3 linked regions of the Drosophila melanogaster genome follow. The protein of the gene in region 3 interacts with the protein of the main gene of each other region in a pairwise test. Each region holds a gene or a part of one and is shown on either strand. Other genes may lie near its edges.

The links. Proteins that work in one complex are often made in the same cells at the same time.
Region 1: the proteins of CG16896 (region 3) and kipf interact in a two-hybrid assay, tested with the Drosophila melanogaster proteins (one large-scale study listed by BioGRID).
Region 2: the proteins of CG16896 (region 3) and CG15478 interact in a two-hybrid assay, tested with the Drosophila melanogaster proteins (one large-scale study listed by BioGRID).

Annotation. Positions count from the first base shown.
Region 1 is NT_033777.3:7,910,545-7,917,900, forward strand, and holds kipf (kipferl), read left to right. Parts: upstream 1-3,306; 5' UTR 3,307-3,539; coding exon 3,540-4,093; intron 4,094-4,247; coding exon 4,248-4,730; coding exon of another isoform or gene 4,731-4,734; exon of another isoform or gene 4,735-4,825; intron 4,826-5,368; coding exon 5,369-5,636; 3' UTR 5,637-5,909; downstream 5,910-7,356. Other genes in the region: Prat (phosphoribosylamidotransferase), read right to left, coding at 1-1,065; Rfk (riboflavin kinase), read right to left, coding at 1,944-2,320, 2,385-2,469; CG10445 (uncharacterized protein), read right to left, coding at 6,384-7,250, 7,312-7,356. UniProt on the Drosophila melanogaster protein: DNA-binding zinc finger protein that recruits chromo domain protein rhino/rhi to specific chromatin regions enriched in H3K9me2/3 histone methylation, mediating piRNA (piwi-interacting RNA) biogenesis.
Region 2 is NC_004354.4:7,711,336-7,721,132, reverse strand, and holds CG15478 (uncharacterized protein), read left to right. Parts: upstream 1-3,200; 5' UTR 3,201-3,342; intron 3,343-6,016; exon of another isoform or gene 6,017-6,162; intron 6,163-6,641; 5' UTR 6,642-6,649; coding exon 6,650-8,308; 3' UTR 8,309-8,350; downstream 8,351-9,797.
Region 3 is NT_033778.4:24,869,455-24,877,711, reverse strand, and holds CG16896 (uncharacterized protein), read left to right. Parts: upstream 1-2,799; 5' UTR 2,800-3,071; coding exon 3,072-3,352; intron 3,353-3,411; coding exon 3,412-3,525; intron 3,526-3,587; coding exon 3,588-6,003; intron 6,004-6,066; coding exon 6,067-6,222; 3' UTR 6,223-6,303; downstream 6,304-8,257. Other genes in the region: CG44247 (uncharacterized protein), read right to left, coding at 415-508; CG30423 (uncharacterized protein), read left to right, coding at 1,932-1,947, 2,053-2,053, 2,119-2,374, 2,440-2,547; Atf-2 (activating transcription factor-2), read right to left, coding at 6,304-6,413, 6,467-7,502.

The DNA.
Region 1 (7,356 bases), on a different chromosome or scaffold from region 3:
AGCCTCTCGCCACAGCTGCCGGCCGCACTGCAGCCTCACTGTGTACACCATCTGACCCTCGAAGATGCTGTCTCCGCGGGCGAAGTAAACGTACTCAAATATACAAAAGGCCATGCGCTTGAAGTCGGGTCTTTCCACAATGTCCACCGTGCGGTAGCCACTTCGCGACAGCTCCACTATCTCTCCAGGCTCCACTTCGCGGACGTATCTGGCACCGATCGACAGGAAGCCACAGCTCTCACTGGACACCACCCAACCATCGGCAGGTGTGTCTAAGTTATTTCCGTGCCCAGCATTGATGGGCACTATCTTGCCAATGCATAGCGGCCTATTTCCATAGGTGTCCCTCACGGCGTAGATTTTGTCCTTTAGCATGATGACCAGCGAGTAGGAGAGTGGCGCCAGCATCATGAAATGCCTGATCCTAGCTGGCCAGTTGGGTCCATCCAGTTCGGAAACATCCTCCGGGGCGCAGCACAACGACTGGGCGATCAACTCACTGTCGCTGTGCGTGGATAAGCCCACGCCTCTGGCCAAAACCTCCCTTCTTAGAGATTCGTTGTTAACAAGCTCACCATTGTGGGCCAGGGCCAATGCTCCATGTGTCGTATGTACCTCAAAGGGCTGACAGTTAACCACTCCGGATCCGCCAGCGGTCGAGTAGCGTGTATGACCGATGCCCAGGTTGCCACGAAGCTTCTTCATGGAGTCGTCGTTGAACAGGGTGCTGATCATACCCATGCCCTTGTGCACGTTGAAGTTCTTGGAGCACTTTCCCTCGCTGGTCGCTATGCCCGCAGACTCCTGCCCACGATGCTGCAGTGCCACCAGCCCCAAACAGATCACGTGTGCAATGTCCATTTGGGTGGGCCAATCTCCGCAAGCGATTGCCCCGAAAACGCCGCACTCGTGCGTCAAACCGGTTAGCTCCTTGCTGGCCGAGATGGATTCCGATTCCATGCTGGAGGTCACCGCCTCAGCTGGTTCCACCTGTTGTTGCTCGACCACGCGCACATGTTGTTGTTGCTTCTGCTGCGACTGTTGTTGTTGCTGTGGCGCTGACATGTTGCTGCTGAAAAATCGGTACAATATGCTGGTTGAAGGCAACTGATTGCAGGCAGTGGCGCAGTTGACGCCGATCTGATTTACCTGCTGATTTACGCAACGGTTTTATACAAGAAAAATCCTCGCACGCTCGCACGCGCAGCTCAGTTTTTCCCGAATCGGTCGAGATCAAGCCCAATATCGATCGGTCGCTGATATCGATAGTGCGGTGTGCTGATGGATCGATAGCATTCTATAGTCTGTATTTTCAAATTGGAATTTTACCTAATTTGTAATTTAGTACACAAAACAATATACACATTATAATTTGATTTTATTCGTTTATATAAAATATACGCAATCAAACTAAATAATAAGCTTTAAATTGAATTAAAGTTATTTTGCGCAATTAAAATTAATTAAAAATTGTATGTGTATGTTCGTATATATAATATTTAACAGTTTTTTTTTTAACACGTAGGCAATTAAAACCAGAAATATAAAAAATGTTTCGTGAAATAAATAAATAATAATTAACTACATATGTATAACAATTGAAAATAAGTTCACTGCAATCCCTCAATAAAAACGCCACTAAGAGATAAATATATTAGAAAAAATTCACAGTAGGAACATTTTTACAAAAACGGTTTCTTTTATACATTTGATAAGTATCAAACTGAAATGCGATTGGTTCAATTTGTTGGTGTCATTATGAGCAGTAGGAATTTAATGAAAACGTTTAGCTTAAGTACTTGATTCGATATTCGAATTCCGCTTTGCACATCGCGCAAATTGAGAGATAAGATAACTGATGGAATAACTATTTCAAAGCCGTGCGAAGAGTAGTAGTGCGTCCTTCAGCAAAGCCTCCTTTTCCAGACTGACCTACGCCATCGCTATTTCGACGAGCAGAGCTTCTCCGTAAAGAACGGAGCCTCCTTCAGCTTGGCCTTGTCCGCCTCGTCGAGGAACGCCTTGGCCTGCTCGATGTCCCCGCGGATGGCGGCAATCAGTGACTCCAGGGAGTCGAAACTGCGCTCCGGTCGCAGGTAGCCTACAATGCATATCTTGAGTGTCTGGCCGTAAAGGTCACAGTTAAAGTCGTGTAGCATGTGCGTCTCCACGCTCTTCTCCTTGTTGTTGTAGAAGGGATTCCAGCCGATGCTGAGGACCATCTTGTGCACGGGTCCATTATCCACGTTTGCCCAACCGTAGTACGCGCCAGTGGGCAGGGATTCCGGCAGCGATTTCACCACCTCCAGCGGAAAGTTAGCTAACAAGTGGTTTGGTTATCAATTAGAAATGACCTTCGCAATTCGCCTAACGTCGCCACCAACCTGTTGGGATGCCCAGCTCTTTGGAGCCGCGTCCGAAGCCCCGAACAATCTCGCCCCCAGCGAACAGAGGCAGTTGGCTCAGCATTTCCCAGATTTCCTTGCAATCTGACCCAGATCTGCTGTGCTGGCGCTTGAAATGAATATCAGGGGCCAATGGGCGGTTGATTTGCGGTATTCTGTGCAACCGCAAAGCGCTGCGGGCCAATTTATCGAGTCTGGCAAGGAGTCAAGCGGGGTTTTCTACAGAGTACGTATGTTGTGATTGCCGCGTAGCCACTCACATAACTATTCCTCGTTCCATTGATCGGCATAATATTCATAAACACACAGACAAATTTTCCGCATTCATAAAGCGAATCAGCTGTTGCCTTCGGGCTGCCAACCTGTTTCAGTTATATAGTACTGTCAATTAGCGAATTTTTTTTACTAGATATTTAAATTGTAAGAAACTGAAATGTATATATTACGCACAGTATGGTTTTAATCAATAAAGCTTGGGTTTATATTGTAATGCAGAATTAATGTAATTGGATTGATTTTAAAATTTTAGCGGCGGGTTAAACATATTTTCATCAAAAGCTTTTATTTGCTGTGTAGAGCTTCTATTGAAAATATTGAATTTTTATTTCATAAATGAATCATCAGATGTTTTGTGTAAATACTAGTACTCTATTCCCAAAATAAATAGAACACCAAATCGTAATTAAATTACAATGAAAGCCAGCTTGCCTGAAAAATATTTGTGTTATTAATACAAATATACATACATATATACATATATATACATATATACATATTTTTTCATATCATATCAATCTCAATTTTTTTTATTCTGAATAATTGTTTTCCATGTGTACATGTATTATTCAGCACTAAAAAAAATGTACAAATGATCAGTGCGACGGTTGGTTTCTTTGCAGTTCCAGTTATCATCCAATTCTCCAAAAAGTGAACACTTACACTTGTGTAGAATGAGAAATCAATTGAACTCTTTAAAAAATGTGCCGTTTATTCATATAATTTACCAGCAATAACTGTAAAACCAGCGAAACGGGATTATTAGTTTGCAAAACAAGGCCAATGTCAATGGTCAATTCATAAGATGTCGTAAACTGTTCTTTTATTAAAAAACATTGCATTTGGTTGTTGATTTAGATGATGCACAGCGCGAAGAACGTGTGCCGGACTTGTATGGACGAGACCGGCACCCTGGTAGATATATTCGCCAATGTAAGGGATCCTGTGCTCGACGAACCGGAGATGAGCCTCTCGCACATCCTGGCCAGGTGTACCGAACGTCCAGTGAAACGCGGCGACCTGCTGCCGCAGTTCATATGCGTTTCCTGCGTCCTGGCCGTGCAGAATGCTTTCCGGTTCAAGTGGCAAAGCGAGCAGAGCTACCAGCACTTCTTCCGCGTCCTAAACCAGTCGGGTGCTCCGGAAAACCAAGTGCACTTAGCTGCATGTAATGGGGATAAGAACCAGATAATAAACCAGAAAATGCAGCTCAAAAGCGATCGTCAACAGGATACGCAGCAAATGACAAAAACGCAGAAACCAGATGATGATCTTAGTCAAAAACAAACACTCCAAGCGAAGCTCCAAGAGGGAAATATTGATGGCCCACCGGAGTCCTTCACCCTGCATCCTCGTAAGCGGACTTGTCGCACAGAAGAACAGGCAGACATGATCCCAAAGGAAGCTACAAGGTAATGCAATTTGTTATAAATATCAAGCCTCAAGATAGACAAATAATTGAAAAATTATAAAAATTTGAAGGTACATCTTTGATTACTTATACTTTTATATGAATAATTAAAAATAACTTAAATAAGCTTAAATAATTATATTCCCGATTTTCAGAAGTACCAAAATGATCTGCGATGCCGATGGCTACTACAACTGCCCGCACTGTTCTAAGCGATTTTGTTCCCAGACCCAGTTAAGGACCCACATCACCGATCTGTGCAACAGGTGTCCCTACTGCCCACGCACTTATATGCAAAAATCGAACCTCAAGCGGCATTTGCGAAACCACCTAAGCAAGCCAGCGCACAAGTGTTTCCACTGCTCGAAGGCTTTCATGCGTAAAGATCACCTTAAAAGGCACCTGCGCACCCACGACAGTGACGGTCCGCTCTCCTGCAGCCAGTGCTCAGCGGTATTTATCGAACACGTTCAGCTGGAAATCCATCGCAGAGAGCACAAACAAAGGCCGGGCTCTTCAAAATCGGAGTCCACGAAGGATCCTGACTCGGACGACAGCGATCAAGCGCAGGATCTAAAACCAAAGTGGACTAAGAACACCTTCAATGGCACGTGCAGCATTCCACCTATGCTAAAGCCGTGAGTTTGGAACTCCACCAGTCTTATGTAATATAGTTATACCTGATAGTTATACTTATACCCTAGTACCGCTGAGAAATTTGTGACGAGCGAAGGTAGCGTATCTGACCCCTTTATATTCTTAATCGGAACCACTAGCCGAGTTCATAAGTTCTCATCAGTCCGTCCGTTCGTCTATTTTTCCGTCTGTCTGTCCGCAGAGATCTCTGGAATTAAAAATCTAGAAAATTAAGGTTTTGAGTTTGTTTCAGACCTTTAAAAAGCCAACAAACGGACATTAAGTTATTGTTTTCATTTATTCTTTTACTTAAATTTTTGGCGATAGCCATTTCGCCGAAGAAAATTTGAATAATCAAACTTTAACCAAACTTTAAAATTGTATACCCGTTACACGATAAGTAATAAAAAGGTTTACTAGTAGAAGGAAATAATAATCTTGCACAGGATCAATAGTCTGTCCGTCCGTCTGCGTGTCCGTAAGAACGCCGTGATCCCGTTAACTATAGGAGCTAAATCCCTAAGATTTAGTAAAATTTATAGAAATAGAAAACCCTCGCACTTTTACTAGCTGATTAACGGGTATCTGATAGTCGAGGCGAATCAACTAATATCATTTGCTTCTATTTATTTAACAACAGGAAACCGATATGCGATATTTGCCAAAAGAAGTTCAGTAGTGTCTACGCCTTGAAGCGGCATATGCTTACTCACAATCGCCAACATCATCTTAAAAAATGTACCTATTGTTCCGAGGAGTTCAAAACAGAAAAACATCTCAAAAGGCACGAGCGTGGTCACATGGGAGATCTGTTTCGTTGCGAATTTTGCTCATTGGTATTTGTAGATGTTAACTACTTGCGAAAGCACAAAAAACGCATTCACAGCAACAACGTAATAGCGATGTAGGAGAAGATCATGTCCAAACGGGTGACTACCGGTTATACTCTTGGAAAACAACCATTGAATTAAGCAGATTAATATATGTGAAAGGAATATAAACGATTTATTATTCATTATAATTATAATGACCGCAGGTCTAAACTTCTGTTGTTGATTCTTACTTTGAATTTTCTTAAATATGATTCTTTTGTTACTTTCATAAGCTCAAAATTAATATTATTTAAGTTTCGTTTTAATTATATATTTCACAGAAACTCAAATATACTGAGAATAAGCTCTAAATTTATATTATTGAAATTTCCTTTTAATTGTATATTTCACAATACATTATTATACTGAAAATAATTAAACAATCGATTGATTGCTACCACATGCTACTTAATGCCTTCTTATATATCTTTAGAGCTTCAAACTTTTTTCTTTTAGCTTTGTTGTGGTTTTGCGAGAACAAAAGGAAAAATAGACAAAAAGAATGATCCATACATCATGAAAACAACTAGTATGCTTTATTATTAGTACGTTTTGTTCTTAATATAGAAAAAAAGGGAATATATATGCTTTATGCTTTATGGACGTGCGACTATATCAAATGTAACGTATAACGTTAAAGGTAGTCTGTGTAGTATTAATACACAATTGTAAACGAATTCAATCCGTTAAAAAACACTTTGGTGAAATTGTAAAGCTTTTGTATGCGAACAATTTAAACAAAAAAAAACATAATCTTCTTAAAACTAACTAAAATACTTCGACTCACATCTCGAAGAGTTTCTTTAGCTCCGCGAGGTTGAGACCACCGCCAACACATTTGGTCACTTCTCCTCCTTCCTCTGGAAGCACAACTTTCGCAATTTCTAGCTTGCAATCTTGCAGGGACTTAATTCGTTGCTCTACAGTGTCCTGGCACATGTAGCGGTAGATGAAGGTAGGCTTAGTTTGACCATATCGATAAATGCGGTCCTGAGCCTGTCGCTCCAGCTGCGGGTTCCAGTGGAGGTCCACAATTAGCATATGATTGGCCACGTTCAGATTCAGTCCCACTCCGCCAGCGGTGAGGGAGAGTAGAAGAACGCGCTTCTCGTTATTCGCGTTAAAGTCTCGCAGTACAATCTCGCGTTCTTTGGCGGTCAGCTGGCCATTAAAGTCAAGTGTTTCCCATGATAGATCCTGCAGTCTTTTACGGACGATTGCGAGATAGCTTACCCACTGAGATGTAACAATGATTTTGTCGTTGGTGCCTGTGAGCAGTTCCTCTAGCTTATCAATGACCATCTTTAGTTTGGCAGAAGGGCGTATGAACTGAAAGATGGGATTCTGGGGATTGAGCAGTTTAAGAGCTCTGGCACTATCTAGTTGATCCTCAAAAGAACTGGCCGTTGGCAGGTCATCACCAGAATCCCATGGCACATTCTCCTCCTTAATTTCATCTTTTATCACTTCCAACTTGAAATTGCCATCTCTTCTAGTACTGTCCTCCTCGTCACAACAGTCATCTTCGCTATCGGTTTCGTCAAACTTATCCAACTCGGCAAGGACATCCATCTTGAGCTGGCCCTCCACGTCTGAGGCATCCACCTTCACGTTCTGGACGTCCTCGGCGGTCAAAGCACCACGCAGCATCTAACGAAAGATGTTGAGTATGATTATGTGGGGTGATAAAGTAAAATATGTATATATTTACCCCAATCATTAGTCCCGGATGGCAACAAAACTGTCGTAGCCGCAG
Region 2 (9,797 bases), on a different chromosome or scaffold from region 3:
ATGCCACTTGACAATTGTCAACAAAGCGCACGTAAAGCGATTACAGTCTGCGTGAGTGCAGGGACATGGAAATGGAAATGGGTGTGTGGCAAATGGATCCTGCTCCTGGGATTCCTGCTCCATGGATATCTTTTGTGATACACTGTGTGTATCTGACGGATATTTGCCAAATCCGACGCCAGCGGCACTTAAGCTGCTCAAGATTGTTCGCATTGTCAGGATTGCAAGCTGGGTTTTCACGGAGGGCAGAGAAAATGCAGAAATACTTACATATGTATGTGGCCACGTGGTAATAGAGTTATAATGCCAATAAACAAATGTATGAAATGTATAAAAACTTAAATAAATATTGAATATTTACAAGGTGTTTCACTTGAAAAAATTCAAAATCTTTTTAAAAGACACCCCCCACCAAACAGAAAATAAAATTTTAATTTAATTTATGCAAAAGTCCAACGAAAAAAGTTTTAAATATCCCGCCCACTAATTCATTAGCCGCTGCCCCCCAAAAAGCATATTTTACCCGCTTTTGGGCCAAAAAGGAAAAGGAATCTTTTTTTTGTTGGCCTGAGCCCAAAATCAAACCCACAAAAAGCTCTCGCGCGTTTGCCTTGATTGTCCTTGATGGATGGATGAAATGGATGGATGATGGACGTTCCACCAACCGCGCGAACCACTCATAATGGAGAATGGAGGGTGGTAATGCGGCGCTAAAAGCAAATGACAATCAGCGGAGGGAGCGGCAAACATTTAACAAAAAGACAAGAAACAAAGTTTAAAATCTAAAAAATTGAAACGGGCTAATGGTGGTGGGGGGTGGAGGGTGCAGGTCTAAGAACGGTGGTACATTGCAATTTACATGCAAACAAACAAATAAGCCCAGCCAGCCCAGAAAACCACCCACCACCACTCAACGTATGGCCTTCCCTTTCGCACCGCTTTGTTTGCTTTCACCACCCAACCACCTCAAACCTTCTCTGTCTGTCTCTCCGTCTGTATATGTGCGTGTATGTTCGCTCAACATTTCAATCAACGCTCGAGTGAAATGTGAAAAAAAAATCATAATAAAAGCAAGGATAATATGGCAAGCGAGTGGTTTGGCGGATGGGTGGAGCGTTGAAAGTGGTGCCGCCGCCCAAGCGGAAATGGATGCGCATCACAAAAGTGGCACAAATTGTGTGGCATGTGTGAGACGTTGCATGCGGCTATAAAAGAGAGGAAGATATAGTGTCTTTAAATTGTTAAAAGCACGCAACATGTCCCTCGAAAATAACTATAAATTTAATTTTATATTTAATTTATGTAGGAATCAGCATCACTTCAAACTTTCATCGATCAACACAATATCGAAATGCAACTCTGCATTTCAAACATATTATGATCTACCTATTTAAATCACACTTTATTCATCAGCGTACCTTGATCATACTTTTCATTTTCTGATATGCTGAACATTTTCGAAATTCCACATCTTTTGACCGCCCCAACTTGCAACTTATTCGAGGGGCTTCCCCACTGCAACAGCCGCTGTTACACGCTATAAAACCAGGTCCCTTTTCCGAACGGATTGCCATAACAACCGTTAACCGAGTTGTATTCAAAATCTCGAGCTGAGTCGAGTCCAAACAAAAATTAAAAAAAAAAAAGGTGGAAGGGAAATGCGACGACCAGAACCAAATCCAAAGTGTAAACATTCACAGCCTCCGTTGGGTGAGGGAAAAATGGATTTGGTGTGGGTTTTTGGTGGGTGATGGCGGGGAATGCTAGACAATGCCGAATGCCAAACGCCCATACCCAAACTCCCTGGACAGAAACAGCTTCCTTCCGTGCTGACGTTTGATGTGCAGCCATGGGAGCTTTTCTTTTTTTTTTTTTTTTTAATACTGCGAGTGGGTGGCAAACACGCAACCAACGTGTGGCAACAGCTAACAACTAGTGCAAAAAAGGACGAGCCAAAAAATGCGGTATTTATTTCAAACAAGCTCAGCCCAGCAAACTGCAAAAAAAGCTACACGAGTTTTTCAAAGCTATTGCTCTGGATTCAGATTCCATTGCCGATGGCAAGTTGCAAAGATGCACAGCCGAAAAATGCTATAGCCACTGTTAAATGTTTAAATAAAATCCACATACCTTCATCATAATTATTTATGATTATTTAAGTCTTAGCACTGAGTACTAGAACAAACAAGTAACTACACACAACTATACCAATAACAGTGAAATTTTTCCAGTGATCTTCGTACACAGACACACGATGCAATTGCTTGGCAACAGCTTGTGGGGAGGTGTCGCTAATGAAGTCGCAAACAGTCGGTGGCAGCAAAAAATTAAGCAAAGAAAGCAACGCAACGCTCTACATATCCAACCGCATCCGCATGCCTTCATTGTAATAGAAATTATAAGCTTATCCTGCTCAAACCGGCCCATCACCCACCTACTCCCGCAGTTGAGCTGTCGTTTTAGCAACACGTTGCCCGTAGCCAAGGACTGCATCCATTGTTCCACTGGCAACATCCGCCAGAGATTGGTAATTGAAACCGGGGAACGTTGCCCGAGAAATGTGGAAAAAAAAAGTTCCATCACAGTAATAAATATAACACTTATTCTTGAATTTAATTCTTAGAATTTTGATTTATGATAATGCATGATATGATAATGCTTTGTGTTCCGAAGCACATAAGCCCCAGGTTGGGCGCCAAATAAGCAGTTCATTACCTAAACAAAACCATTTTAAGAAGGTCTCTTTACTTCCGTTTCCCAGTCGATCTTTAACGTGTAAAATTTGGCAAGACTGCACCAACCGGAAGCGATCAACCCATAGACCAATGAGCTTACGTCTCGCTCTAGTTTTGGTCGTCTTTTTGAAAACTTTTTACCTTTCTTCGAGGGTGGTTTCCATGAACACTTTAGCACTGTTGCTGCTGGTGATGTTGCTACTGCTACTGCCACAGTCGATGTTGCTGCTGCTGATGCGCACCACCAATGCCACAGCGACTGTGGCGCACCACCACCCACCTAGCAGCTCTGCTGGCGCTCTGCTTACGCCTCGTTTCATTTACAACAATTCATAATTTTAAAATCGCACCGAACTCGCCTCGTTCTGGTTCTGGTACTCGGTCTCTGTTTTTCTGTTTCTGTCTCGGCCTCAGGACTCGTTGGATGCTGCTCTGCTTTCCTGCTGTTGCCGCTGCTGGCACTCATTTCATTTGATTTTTAACTGTCATCGACGGCAGTTCAGACCGCTAGCAACGCGTTACCCAAGCAGTGCTTATATTATTTTATATATTTTTTTTAAGTGAAATAAGTTTTAAACAAATATATCTATCAATATAGTAATCATAGGTGAGAAAATTGATCAGCTCGCAAGATCGGATTTGAATGTGTTAAAAAAACGCGTCTATAAAAAATATTATTGTGAAAATGCAATCAATGATTATATTCCAACTTAAGAACTCCTCTTTTAATAAAACACAATTTGGACATTCTTAATAATTAACCTGATATTTTAATAAGGTTAATAATAAGCTAATAAAATCTTATATATAAGCTTCATAAGGCATTCGTTTACAATTAAACTTTTCGATCAAAGCCTAACAAACCCAAGAACTTTACTAATCTTTCTTGAAACATTTAATCCAAATGATTAGAATAAAACCAAAAATACTTTATGCACTTCAGTCAGTCTATGAACCGAAACAATCCAAGCTAAACTTCAAATTTTCATTGGAGAAATTATTTAGCCATAATTCAAACGCATCCAGGGGTTGCACTTTACTTCAACCCTTTGCAAAATCCCAGATCAATCTACACGAAGAACCTGTCAGAAAGGGTTCAACGCAAATTCGATTTTGAAAAACGTTGTGATGCATGCGTATCTCTGGCAGCGGGCAAAGTTGCAAATGAAATTTTGTCAAATTTTCAGGCAACCCAAACGGACACGAATACGGACAACATACACGGGACAGAGTTCCCCGGATGCGGGGCAGGGGTAACTGTCTGCTGTAGCCGACACACATGGACAGAAAGCCACAAGTGGCACATTATTTTAATTCGCAGTCAAACGCTGTAACGTTAACACCACAACGCCATGTCACCAACAAACCAACAAGTTCATTTGTCCCCATATGTGCGTGGATATGAGCGGGGTGGCTTAAACACAGGGCAGGAACAGGCAGGACGCTTAACGAGCAAGGGTTAAAAATGTTATTTATTAGTCATTTGAGCGATCTAGTTTGGTCATAAAAAAATTTTTTATATTTAAAATTATTAGCTAATTTCAGATTTACATTCTTAGGCAGCTACATATTTTCCAATTCTTCATCCTTTGAAACTATTTAACTAACCCGATAACAATCCACTGTTCATAAAGCCCCACATTGGGCGCCAATTACACGATACATCACGCTTTACAAAGATTACAACCGCGCCTGAATGGCACAAAATGCGAACATAGACTTCGTTCAGGGTTGCACACCAGGTGAGCACGAGGAGGGTTGCTAACCAACTCCATGGGTGGGAAGATGAACTCCAGAGTGATTTCGGAATGAAGTGGCATGGGCAACTTATCGCTGTTTGATATGCAGTAATTATGTTATAAGGTTGCCCAGCCCAAGTGCCAGTTAAGTGTACGCTTACAGGGGTTGCCCGCAATCCCAATCGGCTCTTCTATTTTCCGGTGGTGGCTTAAATTTAACATCGATGATGCGACATCAATCAGCTGGGCAGCCTTGAGTGGGTGGATCACCACCCAAGGGGAATCCAGTGGAGGGATTACTTTCTACTCTGGTTTTAATTGCCACGCTGTTTGAGAAGGGGAAAAAAAAAGAATTTCGCAAAAGTTAGTACTCAGCTTATCCCCAGACGAAAGACAAACAAAAGTCGGATGCACTTTGCGCATTAATCTCAGCTCCATATTTTTAGTTCTCGGACTTATTCTCAGCTGCAAAACTTATGCACAAACTTGGGCATGGGCCATAAAAGAAAGTTGGCCGACAGCTGCTGATTGAATATTAAAATGCTGCCAGTTGCTCCAGAGCCACCACAGCCATAACCAATTTAAAAATGAGAAGAGAAACTGGCAATTAAAGCTCTGCCCAGCATCAATCAGTGCCGGGGAAAATCAACGGAATTTCCACCGAGTACCAGATGCCGGGTTGGCCACGCCTATCACCGCCCACAACCACCGCGCCTTAATTAGCATAATCTAATTTTAACTTTGTCGCAAAAATGTCGCCCTAACCAACATTTTTACCTCTCACGAACAACGGCTGCCAAAAAATGCAAATCAACACCCGTCCGTTTGAAAATCTCCGCCTCCGAAACCCCCAATCATATATTCCTTTTGCGACGGTTGAAAACTTTATATATTTTTACAACGAAATGAAAAAACAATATAAAAATAAAAAATTCCACAAATCCAACATGGAATAACGGAAAAAACAGAAGGAATGCAAATGAATGTTCCAAGCAATCGTATAGAAGCTGATGATACCTAAAAATGCAATATATTCTATAATGAATAATTGCAAATTATGTTTTTCGTTTTCGAAAAAACCATAGAAACCATAGAAGGAAAAAATCATGAAGGATTAATTCAAAGTTCACAAACTAAGTAATGCCTTCAAATTGTTCAATTTGTGTACTCCTTGATATTACTTTCGTTTTATTATAGGGTATTCGGTAACAGGCGTCGTCTGTGGGTTGTTAAAAACTTTTTAAATGCGAAAATGAAAGAGCAACAAGGCAATGGAGTCGTGGAAATGGGGGGGGGGGGTCCTTCAATGCGTGATTCTGTACTGTTCCTGGTTAGAATTGACAGGCACACAGGCGGCACAGGATACAAGCAGCCAGGACACAGCGTCAAGTGCCTCAACAGTTTGGCAACACAACAATTGAGTTTGTCCTCCAACGTTCGCGGAAATGGAGGCGGCAATGAGGGTGGTTGGGTGTCACTGCTGTTGAAACATTTAATTTACTGGAATTTGGCGCGATGTGTGTAAGCTTATTAACAGCTTTTAAGGGATCAGCGGGGAGTTGGAGACGGAAAAAAAATTATGGGGATAACGGAGAGTGAGGGAACTTGCGCGCCTGTTTTTCTATGCAAATTTCATTTGTTTTTTGGGTGCTGGGCACAGATGTTGGCTTAATAAAGTTATAATAAAGGTAGCTTAGCTGACGGCAGCTGTGGAACAATGGATTTGATGCACATGGCAGTTATGCTATTACAATTATACGAATACAGGACTCTAAAGGTTGCGGGCTTGATGCTTAATGCTTGAACTGATTTCTAATCTACTTTTCTATCAATTACATTCCATTTGCTAACATCTTGGATTTTCAGTCAATCTTAAGACGCTTTCAAGTTCAACACCAAGTCCCTTCAGTCATTATTTAGACTTCCTTGCCAACCGAGAAAACTCACACACATTTATACATCGAGACAGATTCACTCGGAGCAAACAGAAAATTCAGATTTAATTGTCCCGTGGGTAATGGTTGGGCGGGAGCATGGAAAAGGCGGTGGAATGCCAGTCCAAGACAATGCAAATATATATCCCTATACAAATATAAATTTCAAGTGACTTCAGCCACAGAACTGAGCCAACGTCTTTTGTGTGTTCTTAACTTTTTTTCTCCAACAGCAGCAGCAATGAAGGACAGCAGTAACAGCATCTCGTCGAGCAACACAGCAGGGATGCCATGCTCAACGGGAGGAGCAGTAGCGTCAGCAGGGGTAACCACCAGCAATGCCACGCCCAGTGCGCCTAGTACGCCCACAACAGCAGCAGCAGCAGCAGCAGCAGCGGCGGCAGCAGCATCTGCTGCAGATCCAACCGCAACGAATCCGCAAAATCCGCAGCAACGCAGCAAGAGCAACATCCATGAGCTAAGAAATCAGGACTACGTCAGTCGTTTAATGGCAGCCACACCACCGTATTTGTATTCCGCACCCGTGGGACCAAATAATTTCTTTTTCAGCGATATGCTGCGTTCCTTGGTGCAAGCGCGAAATAATGAGACGGCGCGTGTCTTGCAGCTGCAGCAGCAACAGCAGCAGCAGCAGCAGCAGGCACAGCAACAACAGCAGCAGCAACATCAGGCCGCCTTGGTGAGGCGGCCAAGAAAACGCTCCTGGTCGCATCGTCCATACTACGAGCAATTGCGGGAGCGACGCGATGCAGAGGAGAAGCAGCAGCAACACCAGCAGCAGCAGCAGCAGCAGCAGCAACATCAACAGCATCAGCAGCAGCAACATCAGCAACTTCAGCAGCAACTGGTGCCGGAGAAACCTCTAGAGCTGACCAATAAGGCAATGACACCCTATGGCTATGCCAAAATGGAAACCAAACCAGGTGCTATGGGTATAACACCGCCAACGCCAACGACGGCACCACCAACGGCTGGCAATAAGACTGGTGGTCTGGGTGGTGCCGTCGACACTAACCTGCAGGACAATACACCGCCGGCGGCATCGTTGCCACCACAGGATTTGGTCCTGCCGCCACCACCACCGGTTTGGTATCCACCACTTTATGCACCCTACGGCATCGATCCGTTGCACTTCTTCATCGATCTTCGCGTTTCCGGACATATATACGATAGAAAGAAGGAGAATGTCTCACCGCTTTCGAGTAGCAATAATGCACTTGCCGAAGAAGGTTCACCCGGCTCGTGTTCCAGCTCGGGCGCCACTTCCGCTTCCGGTTTGGCCAGTAATTTGCTGAGCAAACAGCGTCATGGCTCCGCCTTCACTGTACCCATACCCAAGGCGGCCCAAAACGATGCCATCAATCTGTGCGCCAATGCGGCAGGATCAAACGCCGGCGGTGGTGGTGCAGTGACCACCAGCACATTGGGCAACAAATTCGAGCACTATGCCAAATACTATGATCTGGGCGAGACTAAGGAAAATCAACCGTCCAGTACGGCTGCTAATCTTTCGGCAGCCGCTGCTGCCGCTGCTGCAGCTGCAAACTTATCGAAATCGGGCGCCAGCTATATGTTGCAACATCTGCCACGCCTTTACAGTCAGTTTGCCGCCCATCAGGCGCAGGTGCAGAGTCAGGATATCGATGCCAAGTCGGAATCGGCATCGGTTAGTGCCTCACTTTCGGCACCCGATCTTTGCGATGAAGATTCACTGGAACGAAATTCCAGTGATACGGGTGCCGGTTTGGAGGGAACGAGCGGCAATCAGGGCAATTGTGACATCGATGTGGAGATCATTGACTCCATCAAGTATCGCACGGATGGCGAGAGCAGTCGATGTTCCAGCAATGACGAGGCTTCCATCACGCAAATCGATTGAGGCTACTTATTTAAATAATACGAATAAAGTTAATGTGTCCATAATATGATCATTGTTTATTTCATTTTCTACAGAAATTGGTGGTTTTGAGAAGGTAAGTAACTTGAAGAATAAGAAGAAACAGTTACGCGCTCAATAAATGCTTATACAACAAAATGATAGAGATCTATCAAATCAACGTTTCTTTGCAAATAAACATGACAGCTTGTAACTGAAACTGTGGCCCAAGTTGAAGTTTCCCTGCCCCTAGAAATATGCAACGGTAAAAGTAATTTCATAAATCATTTCACGCCGTCGTCGTCGCCTGTTGGTTCATCTTCCACGTATTTGCTGCCTTAAGGCATTTTTTAAATGTCGTTGCACGAATTGTCGAGCTTCAGGCCCACCAACGTTGGGCGCCACATAAAAAAGGAGCCTTCATCATACCGCCACCGAGCATTACACGCCTGACTACGCTTTGTGTAAATTAAAACTGCTGCCGGCTGCTGCTGCTGACGATGACAATGCCACCCAATTCCCGCCACAGTTCTCTTGCATTCCTCGTTTTTTTTTTTTTTTTATTCTTTTTTCATTTGAGCCCCACAGGATATTAATTTTTACACCATTCATTGATTTTGTTTGCTACCCGGTTGCTTAATGAACACATTGCAATGCAAAACGGTGGGGGCGTGGCGACTTGTGCGTTCACCAGGCTCGTTTCCGTTTCCGTTTTTATTTATGTTGCTTCTTGTTTTCCCCCCCCCCCCCTTTAACATTGTTATCAAACGTATGGATTTTCATGAGTTTGCAAATTTCTGCACATTGAGGCAGAAAAAGTGCACTGAAAGCCAATCAAAGCAGCAGTAACAAAACAAAAAAGTGAATAAAAAACCAACACGAGTACAGTCTGAATCAAAAGTGTCGATAAAAATTTGCATGAACATCGCTAAGAGAGGCGGGGCCAAAAAAAGAAGAAGCAAAGTGGGGGTCTCATCATCATCATCATCATGATTGTGTAATCAAAGTAAGTAGCAAGAAGAGATAGCAGCGAAATTGAAATTCAACCTAATTGCAGGAAATTTATAACTCAACTTAACAGCTGACAGATTTTTCCCTTTTTGCTGCCGCGGGGATTTCTATGCGGTTAGAGGAGGGTCCTGTCATGAATACTTGCGTACTTTTGTTATCCTCTCGAAATTCATAAATCTTGGCAGACGCTCATAATTCATGCAACAGTCGACAATTGGCAGCGGTTTCCACTCAAGCCCGATGGGGATGATAGTGGGTGTGGGTAAGGATATACCAACCAGCAATAAGATCAACTTGCGGCTGTAAACAAAATTTTACCAATGACAATTCGGGCTAACTGGCAACGAACAAAAAAAAAAAAAAAAACAGGAAAATACTTCAAGAAAACCCGAAGAAGCGTTGAAAATCCTTTGGGCGAAGATGGGGTGGAGTTTCTTTTTTAACAAACAATGAATGCAGCATATCCCAAGGGGACAAAAGT
Region 3 (8,257 bases):
TGGGATGAACGGAAAAGCTTTAAGGCGCTTAAATGTATGCTACGAAAATCGTAGCTAATCCATATTACATATATTTATACCAAATGCATACATATGAATGTAAATTTCGAGTGGAGAATTTCGTTATTACCACTTATGTGTATTTATGTAGTTACGACGCTGCAGTTGGCTTGACTTTTTAGTTTTGCCGAAGCAATGAGCGTGGGTGTTTTGGTTTGATTCGGAGCACTTCGCAGGACTCGCCATGCATGTATCTAGTGCAGGGGATACACAAATCGAGGTGGCAGCTTTCCTTTCCTTTCCTTTCGCTCCTCCTGCGCCATTCAAGCCCGAACACTCAGGCTGCGTGTGTGGGTACATGGGTGTACGGGCTTATAGGTGAATGGGTGTGTAGTGCGCTATTTTTAGGCTTACCTGGGTAAACGGACATTTCGCAATGACCCAATATGCTGCACAGTAGCGTTGCAGCGAGCGCCAAGCTAACGGTGATTTCCAGGCGAGCCGCCATCTTGCACTTGCCACCAAATGCACTCCCACTTGCGGATTTCTCGAGACCTCAGAAATCAATTTCGAATGGGAACTATCTAGCACTGCACGACCTCTGCCACCACTGCCATATGGCCGGTTAATGGGGCTTTGGCTAGAACGACGACGTCGACGAGGGTTATTGATTTTCAACACCCACACTCGCACACACTTGCGAATATATCCAATTGGCAGCTGCTGGTGGTTGCTCCCCGAACTTTTGCACTTTCGCGTGGGCGTGCAATATTTCTGGCTAGTAACCTGCGCCAACTGCACTTCTCGAGGATTTTTGGGGGTTATTAGGTGTCCTAGCAAAGGTTATGCTGCACTCTACCGGGTGGTTAAAATGTCAAATGGTGCACTTTTCTCACAGATTGCTGGCGAAGAAGCTCAGATGGACATATGGCTGTGGGGATATATGCGGATGGGACTCGACTCCTGGGCTGCGTTGCTCCGCTGTCGACGTATACCGTTATACTGAAGAAACTGAATGAGCCTGGCGGCGGCAAAAAGCCCGAGAAGAAGCAGAAGCTGTGACGCAAATGTTAGGTTCGCCCCCGCGCTGTTAAATGTTGCGGGCAGCTTTTGAGGGCAGGCCGCGCAGCAACAACAACAACCAGAGGGGCACAGTAGTCAAAAGCAGCGCATGCGCACAGTGGGGCTGAAAAGCTCGGCACGTCCGTTCCTTTATTCTTTGAGTAAACACGGGCATTCATAAAGAGCCGAGACGAGGCCAAGGAGACTCTCGGCCAGCTAGCAGGTGGCTGCCACTCACGAATTCCGAAGCCCCGTCAGCCAACTCCACGCCCGCTTTGGGAGAACCCTCCCTTTCCTCCAGCTTCCTCGCTTGGGATAGGGCGTGCTTAATTTTTATCAATGAATTGGCAGCCAAAGAGCTTTTCTCACCGGCAAAGGACTGCGGGAGTTATGGTAGGCCGAATAGTGTATGTGTAGCATTGGTCCTGATGTCCGAATCGGTTGGGAGAAATACCCCCAAGTGGATCTCGGATTCTTACGCGAAATGATTTCGTAACAGATTATCGGGGAATACTCATCTTTTCCTTGCTTTCTTTTCATTGATTAGTCGTTGATAAACGGACTTTTAAAAGACATTTAATAAAAAAGCTTTTAAAAACTTAAAAACCAAAGGTAAGTCCTTTAATAAAGCATTTCATGGAGGTTCGGAGAAAATTAGCATATAAATTGAAAATACATTTAATTAGACCTGGAAGAATTTAAAATCGAATTTAATAAATTATTTTTAACGGTATATACTAGAATCGGTATATTACGTTTAAATAATTTTGAATGGTCATGTTTCGGTCATACTGATGAACTGGTTCATCTGGAACTACACATCTGAGTCATTTTTAGGAGCGACAAAGGAAAAATTATAAACAAATACAATGGCCACCTTAAAGGGTAATTATGCACAACAGTCTCTAGCAAATCTAATGGCTTACATTCTTCGCCTACATCAACACCAACTGGAACCCGCTACACGCCTCTTTTGAAACCATCACACAGCGTATGTCTACAACTACACCCACTCCTGCAGCCAACCGTCTGATAATGATTCCCCTCTTTGTGCAGCCTCTTCATCTGCGCCTTTCTTACATGCATTGGTGTTACCTTCCTGATCCTGGCCTGCGCCGTGCCCACGACAAAGATTTTCTATCCCTTCTTCGTTTTGCTGTTCTACGTGCTGTCAGTTCTTCCAGTCTTCATTGCCAGGAGGACAACTCCTGGAAATGAGACCAATCCGAAATCGGAGTTTGCTCACTTCCTTACCGCGGGAATGGTGCTGAGTGCCTTCGCCCTGCCCATCGTCCTAGCCCACGCATTGGTGGTAAGTGGACACACGGAGCTATTGGGATTTTAAGAGTGTTAAACACGCGATGTCATTCTTAACAGATCACCTGGACGGCGAGTATCCTGACGATAATAAGTAACATTATTAACTACGGCACCATCTTCTGGTACGCCATGCGCGATGACGAGCCATACGGATCCATGTTCTAGAGGGGATTTGTAGTTCACAAGCTCACTAGGCTAGTAACCGGCGCAGGAATATCACCGATGCACTGGGTCCTAGGGTTACGGCCATTTATCCGTAAGCACGCATGCTGTTCGCTTATCCGCAGTCATCAACAAATCTCATATAATCAAATGTATCCAGATAAACGCAAACAAAATAAACTGACGTAGTAGACATTGTCTGGTTCCGGTTCTTTTTGCTGGTTCGATATCGATATCTAAACCACTATTCCATAAGCAGTAATTCTCTCCACTGGCGTATCAAGGAGGGATTAGCTCTCAGTTTTCACTCACTTAATTGAACTGGAAATATTTATAGTCGAAAAAAAATAGCCTGGATGGTGTTCATTTGGCTGCACTGGAACTAGGAACAAGCATTCAGTTGTTAAATATACAAATTTGTAAATATCCTTGCTGGATAAATGAATAGCGGTGTGGCGTTCCTTTTTTCATTGGCGAAAGTACACGTCCTTTGACAAATGGAGTTACACCTCATTTGAGCCCATAACATGGACAGGATTATAAAATCTGAAATCAAGAAGGAACAGATCACGGGTATTCCTTCGGTGGCCCTTCATGGCATCGAGAACTCGATGCAGGACGATAGAGATGTCAACACTGACGTGGAGGAGGACTTCACGGAGGAGGAGTTGGAGCTATTCACAGATCAGGATTCAGACACGGGAGATTCTGATGTGTCGCTCACGCAGCCTGAGGCAGCGCGCAGTGTGCTTTTGAGCAATGCTCCTATGCGCAAGTACCCTTTTAAGCTGAAGCAAAGCGAATCTGGGTGAGTATGCGCTCTAGGCACATTGCGGAGTTGTTGCCAACGAAGTTTGCGAATTCCAGGAACGTCCTAACCGTTCACCACACGATCAAGGAAGCAGGTCAGGCACTGCGCATCCAGATTGCCGCCTGCTGCTTCAACGAACTTAGCAACAAGCTGGTGGTAATAGACAAGCGGTAAGGTTGACAGGGGAAACAATAACGTAATACTCTTTTAAACAGTCTTTTTTATTTCCCAGTGGCAATGTTTTCGTCTTTGACTTTGTACGCAAACGCTACTGGCGGCTGGGATTCCGGATGCCCAAGGCCAAGCTCATTCGGCCATCCCCTCTGCACGGTAGCGACTACATTGTAGGCAATAAAACGGGCCACATTTTCACCATAGACGTGGACAACTCAATTCTTGGGGTCGACGGAGAAGTGGGAAGCGCAGCGCTTGAGGAATTGAGTTGGAGCAATAGCCTGCAGAATGCACGCTCCTCTATCGCTCTGATGCGTTTCGGCAGCGATGCACTTCTGGTGAATCTCCATACTCTGGAGGTTTCCCATCAGCTGGATTTCGATCAGTCGCGCTACACGCTGAAGTTCGCTGCCTTCCTGCCCCACTCGGACCAGTTCTTTATAGGGTTTTCTAACGATTCTCTGCATGTGTGGTCCTCGCATTCATTGAGCACTTTGCGGATGGGCCAGCCTATCAAGGCCAGGAATCGCAAACTGAGACTGCTACCAGCCGCAGAATCTATACCGGAAATAGTTCTCCGAAGCCCGGATGACAGTGACTTGGAGGAGGACTTGACGTTTGACTGCCAGCACTACGACTTTGCCGATGGAATGCTACTCAGCTACTGCTTCACCCCCGACGGCAACAAGATGTGCCTTAGTACCTTGGATGGCTATCTTTTATTGCTGAGCGTGGCCTCTTTTGATCTGGAAAAGATGTACCGCTTGACGGACTTTACTCTCCACCAAATGGCTTTCCTCTCGCAGCCAAAGGAGCGCATAGTGTTTGGAATCACCACCAGAAACCAAGCGGTCATGCTGGATTTAGCCAATACGGATCACAAGCTAATTGTGCAGCGCTCCAATGCACGAAGTTTGAGTCTGAGTCGGGATGGCAAGCTGTTGAGTGTAACGTCTCGCTGCGGAGAAGTCAATGTGTGGTCCACGTGCCGCATTTTTAACGCCCTGCAAGCTCAGATCCGCTGCCTCAGCCAGGTGAAGTCCACTTTCAAACAACCGAATCCTCTGCCGCCCTGCAGCGTCGGTGGAGGCGTTAGCAAAGAACTGCGAGATCTGCTCAATCCGCAGCGCCTAAAAACCATGCTCAAGGAGTACGGTTGCTATCCTGAAAAGTACAGGTACCTAATTTGGACATCCCTCTTAGACCTGCCCTGCAATGGGCCTCAATTCCAGGAACTGATCAAACTGGGGGCACCTCTCCTGGTCAGAAATCGGGCCAAGAAGCTTAAGATTCGCAACGATCACCAACGCCGTGTTGTGATTAAGATTTGGAGTTGCCTTGCTCAATGGTGCAAGGTCTTAGCTCACGCAGATTTTATGCCACACCTGATTTTTCCGTTTGTGAAGCGAATGCCCAAGAATAGTCTGGTTTGCTTTGAGTTAATCGCTACCCTTGTATTGAATCATTTTCAGCTGTGTTTCGAATTTCATCCGCTGCCGCCCTCCAATTATCTGGCCATGTGCGAAAATATCCTGCAGCACTGTGACGAACAGCTTTGCAAGTTTTATAAATCCCAGGAGATGTTGCCTAAAGATTTTGCCTGGCCCCTTCTGAGCACTGCCTTTTCCGAGGTCCTTGAAGAGGAGCAGTGGCTATCGCTGTGGGACAACATATTTTCGGAACCACCCTGGTTTCCAGTCTTTCTTGTAGTGGCCTACAATTTGATTAATCGAGAGATAATCTTGCGGCTGCCAGACAAGCGATCAGTCCTCTTCTTCTTCCACGATCAGAACCCTGTGGACATCAGCAAACTTCTTTCCAAGGCGCGCAAACTAATGTCCAAATGTGCGCTTGCACTTCACCCACAGCGTTTCATGACACACTTCAGCCCCATTCCGAAGGGTGTGTATCCAAAGTTTCTCAAATATCCCAGCGAGTGGATCGATGAGCAGGAGTATCAAGCAGTATCGTTGATCAAGCACAACCAGGAAATCGATGCCCGAATTCGCCATCTTGAGTTGGAGGAGGTTAAAATTATGGAACGCCTTGAAACAGGACTTAAGCAAGAGGAGCACGCTCGCCGCCTCAAAGAAATGGAGAGAGTTTACCAGGACACAATCCATCGCGAGGAAGAGCGCATCACCTGCCAACGGAAAATGCTGCTCACCTACCAAATGGAGGTGCGTCGGCGCAAGAGCGAGGTCATCACTAAGTTACAGGAGTCTGAGCAGCGACGCAAAATTCTGGAGATGGAGAAGGACATGGACCTGCTGATGCACAGTATTGAGCGTGAGCGTCGGCGTCACAACCAAGAAATGCAGCTGGCCGAAGATGAAATTCGTAACCAGGAGATGGAGCTCCTTGCCCAGCGCTACTACTCGGATACGGAGGGTGCTCCACTGGCACAGAAGTATTACGACAAAATCCAGAAACTTTGCTATCAGCGTGATCAGCTGCAGAAAAACTTGCGTGATGTATGTGATAAAAGATTTTAGATTGTATTCTGTGATCTCCTAAGTCTACTTTCTTCCGAACAGATGACCATGGAACAGCTGCGAACTCCAGCAACATCATCTGTGCAATTTAGTCCCCAGCTGGTGGATATCGAGAATTCCATTTTTGAGATACAGAGAGAGTTTACGGAAATCATAACCACAGACAAAACATTGGAGTACAGAAGGAATTTAACTTAACTGAGGCTTTTTTGTACGAATAAACTACAAGGCTAGGATTATGTACATGGCACTAGAAAATAAATAAACAAGGCATATTGGTTATTTCTTGGCCGCGCTTGCGTTGCTGGCGGACGAAGGCACTAACACGTTGGGCACATTGATGAGCAAGTGTATACTGGATGGTGGAATCCGCAGCTGGTCGGCCACCACTATAAACGAAAATAAATTAACTTAACTTCAGGAATGGTTTATTAAAGCTTACCGCCAGCTAAGCTGCTGTGACTCCTGTGCTGCTGCAGTTCCTTTTCTAATCTGGAAATTCTTTCGTGCAGTTCTTGATTCTCCTGCTGCAGCTGGGCGTTCTGTTTGATGAGGTCCTTATGCTCGTTTCGCATCTTGTTACGGTAACGAGAGGCTGCTGCTCTTCGTCGCTCCATACAATCCTCGTCCCGACTGCGATCCTTTGCTTTCGCAGCCTTGGGCGGTGTGGAGAAACTTCGTCTGTTATTATTGCTGTGGATAATGGCCTTCAATCGCTCCTTGATGGGCAGCTGTGAGGTGGGCGTCAGACTGGCGCTACTGGGCTCGTTATTAGGTGGGTTGCAACTGACCAAAATAGGCTCGGGTCTTTTACTGGTCTTGTTTAATTCTTTCGCAGTGGGTTTCGGCAGTATGAAGGGATGAATGGCACCAGTCGGCTTCACCCTGTTTCTGTTACAATCAACTGTAGCGATGGAAATGGGAACTGACTGCGCAGGCAGCACCCATGTTAGGACCTGGGGCTGGATCAACTGCAGCGGCGGCGGACCATCTTGACTGGCTTTGGAAGGCGAGGTAACTGTCGTGGCCAGAAGCTGGTCCACATCCATATCGCCGCAGCTGACACTTTGTGGGACCTGATTTTCAGACGGAACTGATACCACGGTGGGGGCCTCGACGGGATACACCTGGGGCGTGTGCAGGGACTCACCGTCATTGGGTCGAGCCTCTGGGCGACTCGGAGTGCCGCTGACATTTCGCTCCGCTGCTTGCTGGAATCCAATGTCAAATGGATTTACGTGCTGCAGGTCCTCGAAGAGACCCACCTCGTCGCAGTTCTTGATGAGTCGCGTAGGCGTGGGCGTTTGGTCGGCGGCAAATAGAGTGTCTGACTTCTGCCCGAGAGAAATGTCTAGCGAAACATGTTCCGTCTGTGCCCGAAAGTTCTGATAGCAGGATACGTCGCCCTCTGGGGATTTTGTCTCAAAGTCGCCGAAGGACACACTGGCCAGGTGATCCATGTCTCCGGCGGTGTCCATGTCAGAAGTTACATCAAAATCATGCTATTTACAAATCAAACTCCATAATCTGCCGACAATTCTCAATTAAAACAACTATTTTGTAAATCACATTAGCAAAACAAAAAATAAAATTGTTATCGATGTATGGATGTGTTATTGAACCTATCGGACTCCATTAAGAAACCAACTCTGGCTGCAGTGCTGGAAAAGGTACTAAGTTCTTCTGCCGTAATTACGATGTAAAATGTATTTTATTACTGGTAGAACAAAGATCATAACGTAGAACTTAAAATAAATCAAATAAATACTGAATAATCTTCATTGTGTAACAAAATAAGTAAAGGAATTTTCAAACCTCGATATAATGTATATTTTATATGTTGTTTACCTTAGCACAGTAGTGATGTGTGCAAACCGATATATCGATACCGCGAGTGGGTGCAAAAAAGGCGCGCGAATGTTTTCAATTTGAATCTGGTTACCAATAAATACTGTGTGTAAAAAATACCCCTCTGTCATGAGACCCTTATTATTCCTAGCCTTTCTGTGTTTGAAGCTGTTATGCAACCACTCTTGACATTCGGCATTTCCGCAACGAAATTGCGTATCTGCCATCGCATCCAAAATGCCAAAATGCGAGTCTTCGGCACGTAGAAGCAATCATATGTGAAGAAGAGGAAGGTAAAGCGAAGAAAAAACATCGAAACATTTTTGGTAGCCAAGAAAACCCCATAATTTAAAATTTGTATCTTTTAAATTAGATTTCTCATTGG